Linked DNA regions of Canis lupus familiaris. The protein of the gene in region 3 interacts with the protein of the main gene of each other region in a pairwise test. Links are inferred from orthologs where the notes say so. Each region holds a gene or a part of one and is shown on either strand. Other genes may lie near its edges.

The links.
Region 1: the proteins of TACC1 (region 3) and MEMO1 interact in binary tests that used the Homo sapiens proteins (3 or more experiments, as listed by UniProt). The two-hybrid records come from large-scale screens. The link is inferred for Canis lupus familiaris from reciprocal best matches to the Homo sapiens genes TACC1 and MEMO1.
Region 2: the proteins of TACC1 (region 3) and LSM7 interact in binary tests that used the Homo sapiens proteins (3 or more experiments, as listed by UniProt). The link is inferred for Canis lupus familiaris from reciprocal best matches to the Homo sapiens genes TACC1 and LSM7.

The regions. Positions count from the first base shown.
Region 1 is NC_049238.1:25,391,465-25,395,209, reverse strand, and holds the start of MEMO1 (protein MEMO1), read left to right. Parts: upstream 1-928; 5' UTR 929-944; intron 945-1,398; exon of another isoform or gene 1,399-1,634; 5' UTR 1,635-1,651; coding exon 1,652-1,712; intron 1,713-3,745. UniProt on the Homo sapiens protein: May control cell migration by relaying extracellular chemotactic signals to the microtubule cytoskeleton. Mediator of ERBB2 signaling.
Region 2 is NC_049241.1:57,200,248-57,203,992, forward strand, and holds the start of LSM7 (U6 snRNA-associated Sm-like protein LSm7), read left to right. Parts: upstream 1-1,276; 5' UTR 1,277-1,286; coding exon 1,287-1,292; intron 1,293-1,375; coding exon 1,376-1,466; intron 1,467-3,745. Other genes in the region: SPPL2B (signal peptide peptidase-like 2B), read right to left, coding at 1,071-1,130. UniProt on the Homo sapiens protein: Plays a role in pre-mRNA splicing as component of the U4/U6-U5 tri-snRNP complex that is involved in spliceosome assembly, and as component of the precatalytic spliceosome (spliceosome B complex).
Region 3 is NC_049237.1:27,442,946-27,446,590, forward strand, and holds part of TACC1 (transforming acidic coiled-coil-containing protein 1), read right to left. Parts: intron 3,073-3,645; coding exon 3,012-3,072; intron 941-3,011; coding exon 733-940; intron 1-732. UniProt on the Homo sapiens protein: Involved in transcription regulation induced by nuclear receptors, including in T3 thyroid hormone and all-trans retinoic acid pathways. Might promote the nuclear localization of the receptors.

The DNA.
Region 1 (3,745 bases), on a different chromosome or scaffold from region 3:
TTATCCGGTTTGAACTCTACCAATGATCTGTTCAGTATGAAATTCAGATTCTTTCACTGAAGACGTGCAAGTTTTTCTTAACTCTCTTCCCGGTTTTGGAATGATCTGCTTCATAACAACGCTACCTTGGTCTAAGATATCCTACTTCTCTGTGATTCTTTAATAGTTTTAGAGGAATTCTTTGTTCCTGACTCTTACGTGAAATACTGGGATTTATAAGAGGAGGGGTTGTAAATAATGTTTGTTGTATGCAATACTCTGTCAGGCTCTACATTTTATTAACTGATAATCCCAGGGACCCTCCTTGAATATACTATCCCCTTTTCATAGAAGGGAATAACTGAGGCTAGCCTAGCTATTTTCACACTTGAATCTAATTAGGGAGTGAAGACCTGCACCTACATCCGTATACAATGAAACGAGATAAATGTTTACAGTGTCAAAGCCACGATTAGGTGTAAGAGTGGCCGCGGGAAGCAAAAGCTAGCGTTTGAGGGGACCCCTGCCCTCACACTGCCATGTGCCTGTTCCTATACAGGAACTTCCTGAACGAGGCCACAGGCTCGCATCCCCGGGAGTGGAACCTCGGGGGTGTGAATCCACTCAACATTCGCGTGTGTGACGAGGCGGGGGAGGACGAGCAGGACGAGCAGGACGAGCAGGACCGTCCCCGCGGAAAGCCGCGGCGGCGGCGGCGGCGGCGGCGAGCCCCGGGTGCTCGTCATTTACGGAAGTTGGCTGGGGGAGGGGGCTCGCCCTGCGGCTGCGCCCCGCTCCCCCCCCGCCCCCCCCGCTCCCCGCCCCCCAGCCTCTGCTGCCGCTAAACCCCGGAGCGCGGAGCGTGCACGCTGCGATCCCTCGGCGGCCCGGCCGCGGCTGCTGGGCATGCTCAGTGGGCAGGACCCGTTGGAGCGGCGAGTAAGGAAGCGCTGGCTCCTCCGCGGGTCTGCCGTCCCCGCTCGGGCCCCGGCCCTGGGCTTCCGTGCGCGCGGAGCCGCAGCCGCAGCCGCCGCCGCCTCCCCGCGGGGCCTGTCCGGCTTCCGCCGTTAACCTCGCGGCGCGGCCGGAGGAGGAGCGGGGCGGGGCGGGGCCCGCGGGCCGGCGGGCGGCCGGGCGGGCGGGAGGGCCCAGCCGGGGTGGGGGCGGGGGCGGGGCGGGGCGGGGCGGGGGCGGGGTGGGTGCGGGGAGTCCCGCGGGGGTGGGGGGGTGGGGGTGGGGGTGGGGGAGGGGAGGGGGCGGGCGCGGAGTCACGGGGGTGGGGTCAGCGGCGCCGGCTCGGGGAGGCCGGCGGGGAGGGGGCCGTGGGGGCGGCTCGGCGGAACCAGCCGCGGCCGGGGAGCGGCGGCGAGGCCGGGGGCCGGGGCCAGGGCTTTCCGGGCTTCGGTGAGGCCGCCGCGGGCCCCATCTTCCGGCGCTCGCCGGAGCTCGTGCTGATTGTTGCTGCCGCCGCCACCGCCCCGGCTGCCATCTCGTCCTCCTGGGCCGCCGCCGCCGCCGCCGCCGCCTCCTGGGCCGGGCCGATCCCCTCCCCGCCGCCGCCTCCTCCTGGGCTGGGCCCGCGGTGTCTCGTCCCCTCGCGGAGCCGCTCCTGCCGCCGCCGCCGCCGCCTCCTCATTCATCCTCGTGCACCATAGGCGGCACAGGCACCAAGATGTCCAACCGAGTGGTCTGCCGGGAAGCCAGCCACGCCGGGAGCTGGTACACAGCCTCAGGTAGGGCCCCAGGCCGGCCCCGCGTGCGGAGGGAGCGCCCCCCCTCCCCCCGGGGCATCCCGCGGGGCGGCCGGCTCGCCGCCGAGTGTGGGGCGGACGGCGCGCGCCCTCCCGGGGCCGGGCTGGATGGAGGCTGGAGGCCGGGACCCGAGCCCGCCCCCGCCCCGGCCCCGGCCCCGGCCCCCGCCTCCGCCCCAGCCCCAGCCCCAGCCCCAGCCCCGGCCCCGGCCCCGGCCCCGGCCCCGGGAGGACGGCGCGCCCGGCGCGGGGGAGGCAGGCAGGACCGGCGGCGGGGCGTCCCCGTCTCCCCTCCAAGGTGCCCGGCTGCCTGCACGGGAGCGCGGGCTCCGGACCTTCTCCGGCTCCGGGCTGGACGCGGGGTCCCCGCCTGCGAGGTCGCCTAGGAGGCGGGAGGCCCTTCTCTGGGACTCGCGGAGCCCGTCTGTGGGGGTAGGGTAGGAGGGCGGCCAGGCAGCGCTTGGGGCGGGTGGCCTCCCAGCTCTTTTGTCCGTGTTTTCATTGTTACTGTCACTCGCGAAAGGGGCAGCCGGAGATGGCATCGGCGCGCCGGCCTCCCCCCGCGGCCGCGCCAGCAGCAGCCCGGCCGCCCGCCCGCCCGAGCCGAGCGGAGCCCCAGCCCCAGCCCCAGCCCCAGCCCCAGCCCCAGCCGCAGCCGCAGCCCCAGCCCCAGCCCGAGCCCCAGCCGCAGCCCCAGCCCCAGCCCCAGCCCCAGCCCCAGCCCCAGCCCCAGCCTGCGAGCGGGGCCCGGGTCTCCGCCGCCCCGGCGCGCCGTCAACGCCGCCTACAAACACTCTGGAGCTCTTTTATGTAAGAAAGCCCAGGGACGTTCCCTTTAATACACAGTTGGGTTAGGGCCACTGTTTTTCCTGGGATTACTTTCACGGGTCATATTTCTGGTGAGTTAACAAAGAAAGTTCCACCGTGATTCCCCATGGTGTTCCGTGGTCTGGTACCGGCTTACGGGTAACCGGACCCAACTTCTCGTGCGGATCTCGCATTCACGCTTTCCCTCTTGCACCGAGTCGGGTTGGGGTAGGGACGTGGCTGGTGAGGCGACAAAGATCTGGAAGAAAATTCCTTTCTCTGAGTTGCTGCTACTCGGGACTCGGAAACACATGCACTTTCCCGACTCACTGGAGATTTGCGGTGTTAAGACACAAAAGAATCCTAATGCTTGGATTCGCAAAGCCTAACAGGTAGCCGGCTGTAGTTTTGTACCGAGCAAATGACATTTGGCTTTGCCTTCGTGGCCCTGGCGTACTTCACGGACACTTAATCAGTTCCCACAGCCTGAGAATGTCAGTTGAGCTTTCCTTGGTGGACACACATGGGGATGTGTCCGAGACTCTGTCCTGCTAGCCGGTGGCAGAACGGGAATGGAGAAACGGGAGTCCCTGGCTCCTGGGTTTGTCCCCCATTAAGTGCATTGCTAATATTCAATTTATCAGTGCCTAAATGGCCTTTTCTGGGTTGTAAGTCACTAAGCTGCTTTCTTCAGTGTGTTCTGAAGGGTTAGAAAGTCTCAGTTTTCACTTTCATGGCCATCTTCTGATGTATTTCTTTTGGTTTTGTTTTCTGTATCTTTCTATAAGTGTTTTAGACTTTTTGACGTAGTTTGCCTTGACATTTGGGCAAATAATTCTGGAGGAATTTTTATAGATTCTTGAATATTCTTTGGGTAGTAAAATAAGGTATATCTCACACTTTGGACTTGAAACGACTTCTTCAGTAATCTCAAATATAAGAAGAATCCTTTAATCTAGCCCCAAACATTCTCTGATTATAGCTACTTATCAGTAGTGAGTGAACACAAACTATTTTCTTCTTTTTTTGGGTATAAGTGTAATTTTATTTTATCTTTTTACAGTGTTATATTAGTTTCAGGTGTGTACAGTATAAAGATTCAACGATTCCTAAACTGAACTATTTTCTCAAACATTTGAAATGCAATCTAATTTCCTTAAATTCTCAGTAGTCAGTAATGCCACTTTGATAATGTGAATGTCATAGAG
Region 2 (3,745 bases), on a different chromosome or scaffold from region 3:
GGGACGGGGCCTCCCAGGGAGCCTCTCCGGAGGGGGGTGGGGGCAGGGAAGAACTAGGAAGGATGACCAGGGGCATTCCGGGGAAACGGGGAAGACCAGACGGAGGCGGAGCGCCTTCAGCAAACTAGGAACAGGAGGGGAAGCGTCCCAAGCCGCCCAACCACAGAGGCCTCCCACACGCGCTGGAAGCCGAGGGGCGGCTCTCATCTGGATGCAACCAGACCTGACACACTTTCAGAGACATCCCTCCTGCTGTGCCGCCCATGGACTGGGGGGTGTGTGAGACGCAAGTGGCCACCGGAGGCTACAGGAGAGAGATGGGGACCTGCGGCGGGCAGCTCAAGGTTAATGGGACACCACTCCCTGAGCTGCATCACCCAGGGAACCGGGGAGGGAGGACCTGCAAATACAAAGTGCGCTTAGGAGGATGTCCACCCCCCGGCTGGCAGCAGGCCCCCCGCTGGCCCGGAGACCTCTGACCCCAGCTGCCCGAGGAGGAGCACGCTGCAGCTGTCACCCCATGAGCATCACCGCCGAGTCCTCACTGACGTCTTCCTTTTGCAGATGAGCAACTGACGCCCGAAGCTGGGGCCTCCCTTGCCCAAGGTCACGCAACAGAACACGGGGCGGCGGTTGGACCCCACTCGGGACGCGGGCTCTCGGCCGCTCCCTGTGGGGAACCGGGGGCCACGCCGGACGGCTTACCGCAACCACGCGGGTGGGCGCTAACCTCGCGCGGAAGGGGAAACTGAGGCTGGGGGCCAGGCGGGGGGCGTCCCCGGCGGCGGCCGGGGGCCTCGGGACGGAGCAGGGCCTGGGGAGCCGGGGGGCCTCCCGGACTTCAGACCCAGGCGCAACTGGGCGACGCTGCGGCTGGGGAGGGCTCCGGGGGGGGCCGGCCCGCAAGGTCACGGCCCGGCTCCCGGCCCGCGGGCCACCGCGCGGGGGGCGAGCAGACCCGAGGCTGGCCCCCAGGCCAGGCCGGGCGGGGCTCCCGCGGGGCGCGGGGCCCGGGGCGGAGGGACCGGGCGCCGCAGCCGGCGGGGCCGGCGGGGCCGACGCAGCCTCACCTGGGTCGCGAGGAGCAGGAAGGCCGCCGCGAGCCGCGCCAGCGCCGCCGCCGCCGCCATGTCAGCCGGGTCGAGCCGCAGGCGTCGGCAGATGTTTCCCAGCAACGCCCCGGCGCGCCCCGCCGCGCCTGCGCCGTGTGCGCTCCGCGCCTGCGCACGGGGGCGGGGTCAAAGGGCGCGCGGCGGCGCCTGCGCAGAGCGGCGCGCGGCGGCAAGATGGCGGTGAGCGCGCGGCGGGGCCGGCTGGGCGGGCGGCGTGGGACCCGGCCGCGCTCTGCGCCTCACGCGCTCTGCTTCCCCCGCAGGACAAAGAGAAGAAGAAAAAAGAGAGCATCTTGGACTTGTCGAAGTACATCGACAAGACGATTCGGGTGAAGTTTCAGGGAGGCCGCGAAGGTGAGAGCCCCCCGCCGCCCGCCGCCCGCCCCGCCGCCCGCTCCCCGTCGACGGCTCCGGGAGGCGAGCAGGGTGGCGGATGCCCGGGCGCAGGCCGGAGCGCTTTGCTGGGAGGACTCGCGACGGCCTCCGTCCGACGCCGTGCACGCGGGGAAACTGAGGCACGGGAGGAGCTGCAGACACCCCGAAGCGGCCGAGGCGCAGGCGGGGTCCTCGCTCCGAGGCAGCCGCCCCCGCTGGTCCCCGCTGGTCACTGACCCCCGCCCCGGCTCCTTGGGCTCCGCACTCGTGACCCTGACGCCAGCCAGATTGTTCGGGGCTGTCGGGGCGCTGGGGGGAGGGGAGCAGCCAACCCCCGGATGCCGCCAGATGCCAGGACATGCCTTAGCTTGGGCACCCCAACCAGGCATCTCCCTTGCCGAGCCGCGGCCCGGTGTCAAGGATGGTCCAGAGGGGCCTGTTAAACACAGGTGGGCCCTCCTCTGGGCCGCCCGGTCCCTCCCGGGGAAGGGGCAGCCTTGCGGAGCTCTCAGCTGCCACCAGGCTGTGACGTGCACCCGCCTGCTGGGCTCTTACCAGGCTTAAAACACAAGGCTTCTCTGGGTGAATGAATTTCAAAGATCTCGGGAGCTTTCTCCCACTATTCACGAGCCAGGGAGCACCCCACCTAGGAGACGGCGCAGAGCCCCAGAGGGTTTCGTAGGCAGAGGGTGCAGGAGCAGACGCTGGATCGCTTCCGGCAGGGTCCCCCTCCTCTGGGGGATGCTGGGGGTTCTTTCAGGAAGACTAGCTCGGGAGGGCTGACCTGGAAGTTCCAGGCTGACTGGTGGAGATTGCATTCCTGGGAGAGCTGCAGGTGCGGCCAGGTTAGGTATGAGGCCGCGGTGGGGTGGCCGGGGCTTGGCACGAGTGACGCCGTTGGGAGTCTCTCTTTCTAACTCCAGGTTAACTCCACAGTCATTTTTCTGCTCTCAGCTCAGGATTCTTGTTCCAGGAAGCCTTCCCTGATCCTCCACCCTGGGCCCCACGCCTTTGGTGTCAGCTCCTGGTACCGTCTGTCACCGTTCCCCGCTTTACGCAGTAAACACGACACCGACCTCTGCATCTTTCCCCTGGAATAGTGAGGAGGGCAGGAGCTGGGCCCAGTGTTGCTGGTGCGTGTAGGCAGTGTGGCCTCTGGGGTCCTAGCACCAGGCAGCTGGAGTCAGAGCCACAGCTCTTTGGCGCACTGGCTGTGGGACTTCGGGCAGCTCACCCCGCCCCCCAGGGCTCCATTTCTTCACTCCCCCCACCTCACCGGGCGGTGGTGAGGATCACAGGGTTGGAGGCACCTTCGATGTGGTTTCTGACACAAGCAAGCACTTGAGCAACATTTCATTTCTTCAGCTGCCTCTTTGCTTTCGTTGTGTTTCATGAGACAGTGACCCAGATCCTTTCTCCCGGAGATGTGGACGATTGGGTAGCATCGGCGTGGTTAACAGCGCGGTGCCTGCAAGTCTAGGTAGCCAGCAGTGGTGAGAACTTGAACCCGAACAGATGTTTGCTCTGTCTGCGCCGTGCTGGCTCTGGGACCCGTGAAGGAGACACAGCTCTCGTTTCTCAGGGTGCTCATATGGGTTTTCTACGCTGTGTAGCAAGTTGCCACCACGTTAGCAGCTTACGCAACATGAATTTATTATCTTGTGGTGTTTGTCAGGAGGAGTCTGGGTGCCTTGGGCTCAGGGGCTCAGGTTGCACTAAAGGAGTGTCTCAGACGCCCTGTTGGTTGTGGGCAGGGTTTGGTCCCCTGCGAGGGTCCTACCCCTGTAGGACCAGGGTCCCCGAGCTCTGCTACAGGTGTCCTAGAGGCTGCCCGCCGGCCCTGGCCACAGCACTGTCCACAGCATGGCAGTTTGCTCCCTCAAGGCCAGTGGGAAGATCCCTCTCATGCTTTGAATTTTTTGACACAGTTCCTGTTCCCCTGAGCTCATCTGATTAGGTCAGGCCGGCCGAGCAGAATCTCTTTAGGTGAGCTGAGAGGGCACTGATTCTGGGACCGTAATCACACGTGCCCGTTCCTTCGTCTTTATCCTCCTGTAACCTAATGGCAGGAGTGGCATCCCGTCCTATTCACAGGTTCCCTCCCACACTTGAGGGGAGGGGTTCCACTGGGTGGTCACCGGGGTCAGCCCCATTTTAGAACTCTGCTCGTGCCCCACGGAGGAGGGCAGACCCGCAGGTGCGGCCACAGTGCCCGCTGCCCATAAGCTCGTCGGGGAAGTGTCCTCGGGACCTTTGTC
Region 3 (3,645 bases):
AAGGGCCTCAGCTCTAGAATGTTCTTACAAGTTCAACAGGAAGAAGCTTCAGCATAGGTTAAGCCTAGTTAGTCCTTAGTAGAACATCAAGGATTTTTCAGGGTATTTGTCGATTTCAGCCTACAAACAGGAAAATGGATAATATTCTAGTCGTGAAAGCAACCTCTTCCCATGTTAGCATTGTGCTTAAAAGACCATAAAACCAGACTGCCAAGGTTTGGATCCTAGTTCTACCATGTGCTAATCAAGTGACCTTGGCTAACTTACTCAACTTCTATGTCTCACCTTCCTTCTCTGAAAAATGGGGGGCGGGGGGGGAATAATACTGACCAAGGAGTCATCAGTTAATAGATGTAAAGCACTTAGCACTGTGCCTGCACATGGTAAGGCACTATACGTGTTATTATTATTTCTCTACGCTGAACAACAATCACAACATGGCTACAGGCCACTATATTTTGAGATGAAGTCACATAAAATAAGTCACAAAATTCAAGCAGCCTCATATGTCAGTGTCTCCATCCTGCCACACTCATCCCTATGGCTCTGGTATTTCGAGAAGATGCCCTCCTGCATCTCTTCTCTAGGCAAAGAAGCAAAGCACAGATCAGCAACCTGCATCTATCCTCCAAGTGACCCAATTCTCTAATCTCTTTAAACTGCCTCCTGCATTAAGCTTTCAGGCATTTCTAGGCTTATGTACATTAGAAAGATGAACATATACTTCCATACCTGCTTCTGAGGATGAAAACGCATGATTTATGGTAGACACGGGAACATTGGAACATTCAAAGTACTCCAGGTCTTCCTCTGGCTCACCTTTCACCTCGGCCCCAGCTGATTTCTGACCAGATGAAGTGGACGCCAGTTTTTCCTCATCGGTAGCGTGGCCATCCCTATTAGATATGTCTGAAATCTGGGAGATCACTGCTCCTTCATCCTAGGAAATGCAACAGATCAGATGCTACCATTTAGGAGGACCAACAGTGGGGAAAGTGACATCTGAGGAATGGGGCAAGACAGCCACCATTCCACATGGGTGTCAGATAAGACTTAATCATAGATTTTGGTACCAATCAAGGAGGAAGCTGAGGTATCTCAATTATGGAATATTATGCTTTCTAGAACCTCGCTTCTCTTATTCACACATGAGGTCTGAAAAATTAACCTTTTCTAGCCGAGATTCATAAGCAACAAGTTTAAGTGATCTAAGGCAGTGGTTTTCAAATATTTTGCTCATATAGCCCATGAATTGTTTTTGAAATATCAATGTACCCACTGTATTTTAGGTGACATCCAAAAACTTTTCAGCATAAATATAAAAAACTTCGTAAGATATAATATCCGGTATACTTTAAAAATTGCCTAGTTCAACCTAATTACTCTAGTGATTTGATGATATTCTATCATCTACTTAAAATCAACATGAACACACATTTTTAATAGTTTTAAGTCAGAAATTTGCATCATTGCTTCTACCAAGAAATTATCCTTAAAAAGAAGCACCTGTATCCTTTTAAAGTCTTTTAAAGTTCTATCATCTTTCTCAGTTAAAAAAGTTAAAAATTAAAAAAAACTTCTATGACTGTAAATCTTTAAACATTAACATTTTTTCTTCTGGACAACTAATCATCATAATTAACTAATGCACAATTTATCCTAAAATTATTACAACTTTTGATAAGTACTATCACATACAAAAGTTTCTACTAAAAAGAAGTATCAATTACATTTTGTTGTACCAATTATTTAAAACTTTTGCAGTGTCATATGTGTTATTTTCCTGAATCAAATCAAAGGTAAATTTCTCACAGAAATTTGTTGCCTGCTTTAGCAGCATTTGAAATTGGATACTTTACATATTTGTAATAGATGAAAAAATAAATCAGAGGGCAAATCTTTCTTTCTTTTTTTTAATCTTCAGCCATGTACCAAGTTTTTGGTCCAAACTGTGTAAAATAAACTTAAAATGAATTTTATTAACTAATTAATGTATTTCTGTATTCACAGTTATGCTGCAATAAAGTTTTTTAAAAGGTCTCATCACAATCAAATGGGTCTGGGTTTTTGTTTTTTTGTGTGTGTGTTTTCCAATTCATAGTCATGGGCAAATATTTACTGCTAGAAGGAAACAAGGATCCACATGAATTTTATTCCTGTTTTTCATTTTTATAATTATCAATCAAGAAGAAGCTTAGATATTTAAGCCTATTTATACAAACAGATGAAAGAGAAAAAAAGTTTTAGAAATCGAAATGTCTCTTAATTCTTTGAATCCCTTTCCAAGTCATGTACCAAAAAATTCTATCATCAAAAGTTACTTTGGGAGGGGAGTGCTCCTGAGTGGCTCAGCCAGTTAAACATCTGACTTAGGCTCAGGTCACAGTCTCATGGTTCTGGAAGGAGCCCTGCATCTGGGCTCCCTGCTCAGAGGTGAGTCTGTTTGTCCCACTCTGTCCCTCCTCTAGCCTGTGCTTTCTCAAATAAATAAAAATCTTTTAAAAACATTATTTTTTAACTGAGATATAACTGACATATAACATTGGGTCAGATAATTTTTAATAGTCTATCAGGTTATAACTCAAGTTCTCCTACTTTGCTGAAAGCAATGAATTGGAAAACCATCTGACTTAAGAAATTTATTATCCAGTTATTAAAGTTAATCACTTTCTTAAAACATGCAGTATTATTTCAAATCTGCCCTTTGTTTGGTGTCCCAGACATTTCATATCCAGTGAAAATGCATCTTATTAAGATTCAGAATGACAGGAAATTTTACCTCAAAGAAGTGGGAAAAGTGTAACATGAGTGGGCACTCCTTTTCTCAGGAGCCTTCTCAGGTCACTTTAGGAAGTTGAGGGTCAAGAAATTGGTATCCTCAAAGCCAGATTACTCAGAAACCAGATTACCTGCTGGAAACTATTCATTATACCCCCCTCCCCAGGAGCACACAAACTCCAGTTTGGGGACCCCTGGTCCAAGAGACATTCTGGTGACAGGCACAGACTCACCTGAGAACATCCATCCAAAGCAAGAGACTGTGTTTCATATTTCTTCACCTTACAGCCACTCCTGGAAAGGAGAACAAAAATAAAACAAAACAAAACAAAACAAAACAGGCCATTTTGGAATCATATTAACAACTTCCAAGCTATGAGATGGAGCAGAGAAAGCAATGTGTGCAGAGAGAAGCCAAAGCATACAGCACCACGCAAGTTCTACATCTACACAGTAGAGAGGGGAACACCTTTCATGTCTCTGAATTTCCCAGGAGACAGGGCAGGCAAGGAACTATAGCTCAGCTCATTCTCTGAGAAGACCTCCTCATGTGTTTCCGTGGGATGTGTAACACCAGTACTCTGACTCTGACAGTTTCTGCTGACACACCACCAAAACTTGCAGAGGTACCTTATCACCTAGAGACATTCAGTTCATCTGATCCCTACTCACTGGCTTTGATATTCATTAGAAAAATTACCACACCGGACCAGATTCTTTAAAAAAGTTCTTTATTGCACTAAAAACCACATAAGTCTGATAAGACAGTTCCAGACCTGTGTGCTAACAGAGAAAAACTATGGTCAATGGAAAGTACAAAAATAAAAATATTTGCGTAAATGGTTATCATTCCTATTAAGCAGTAAG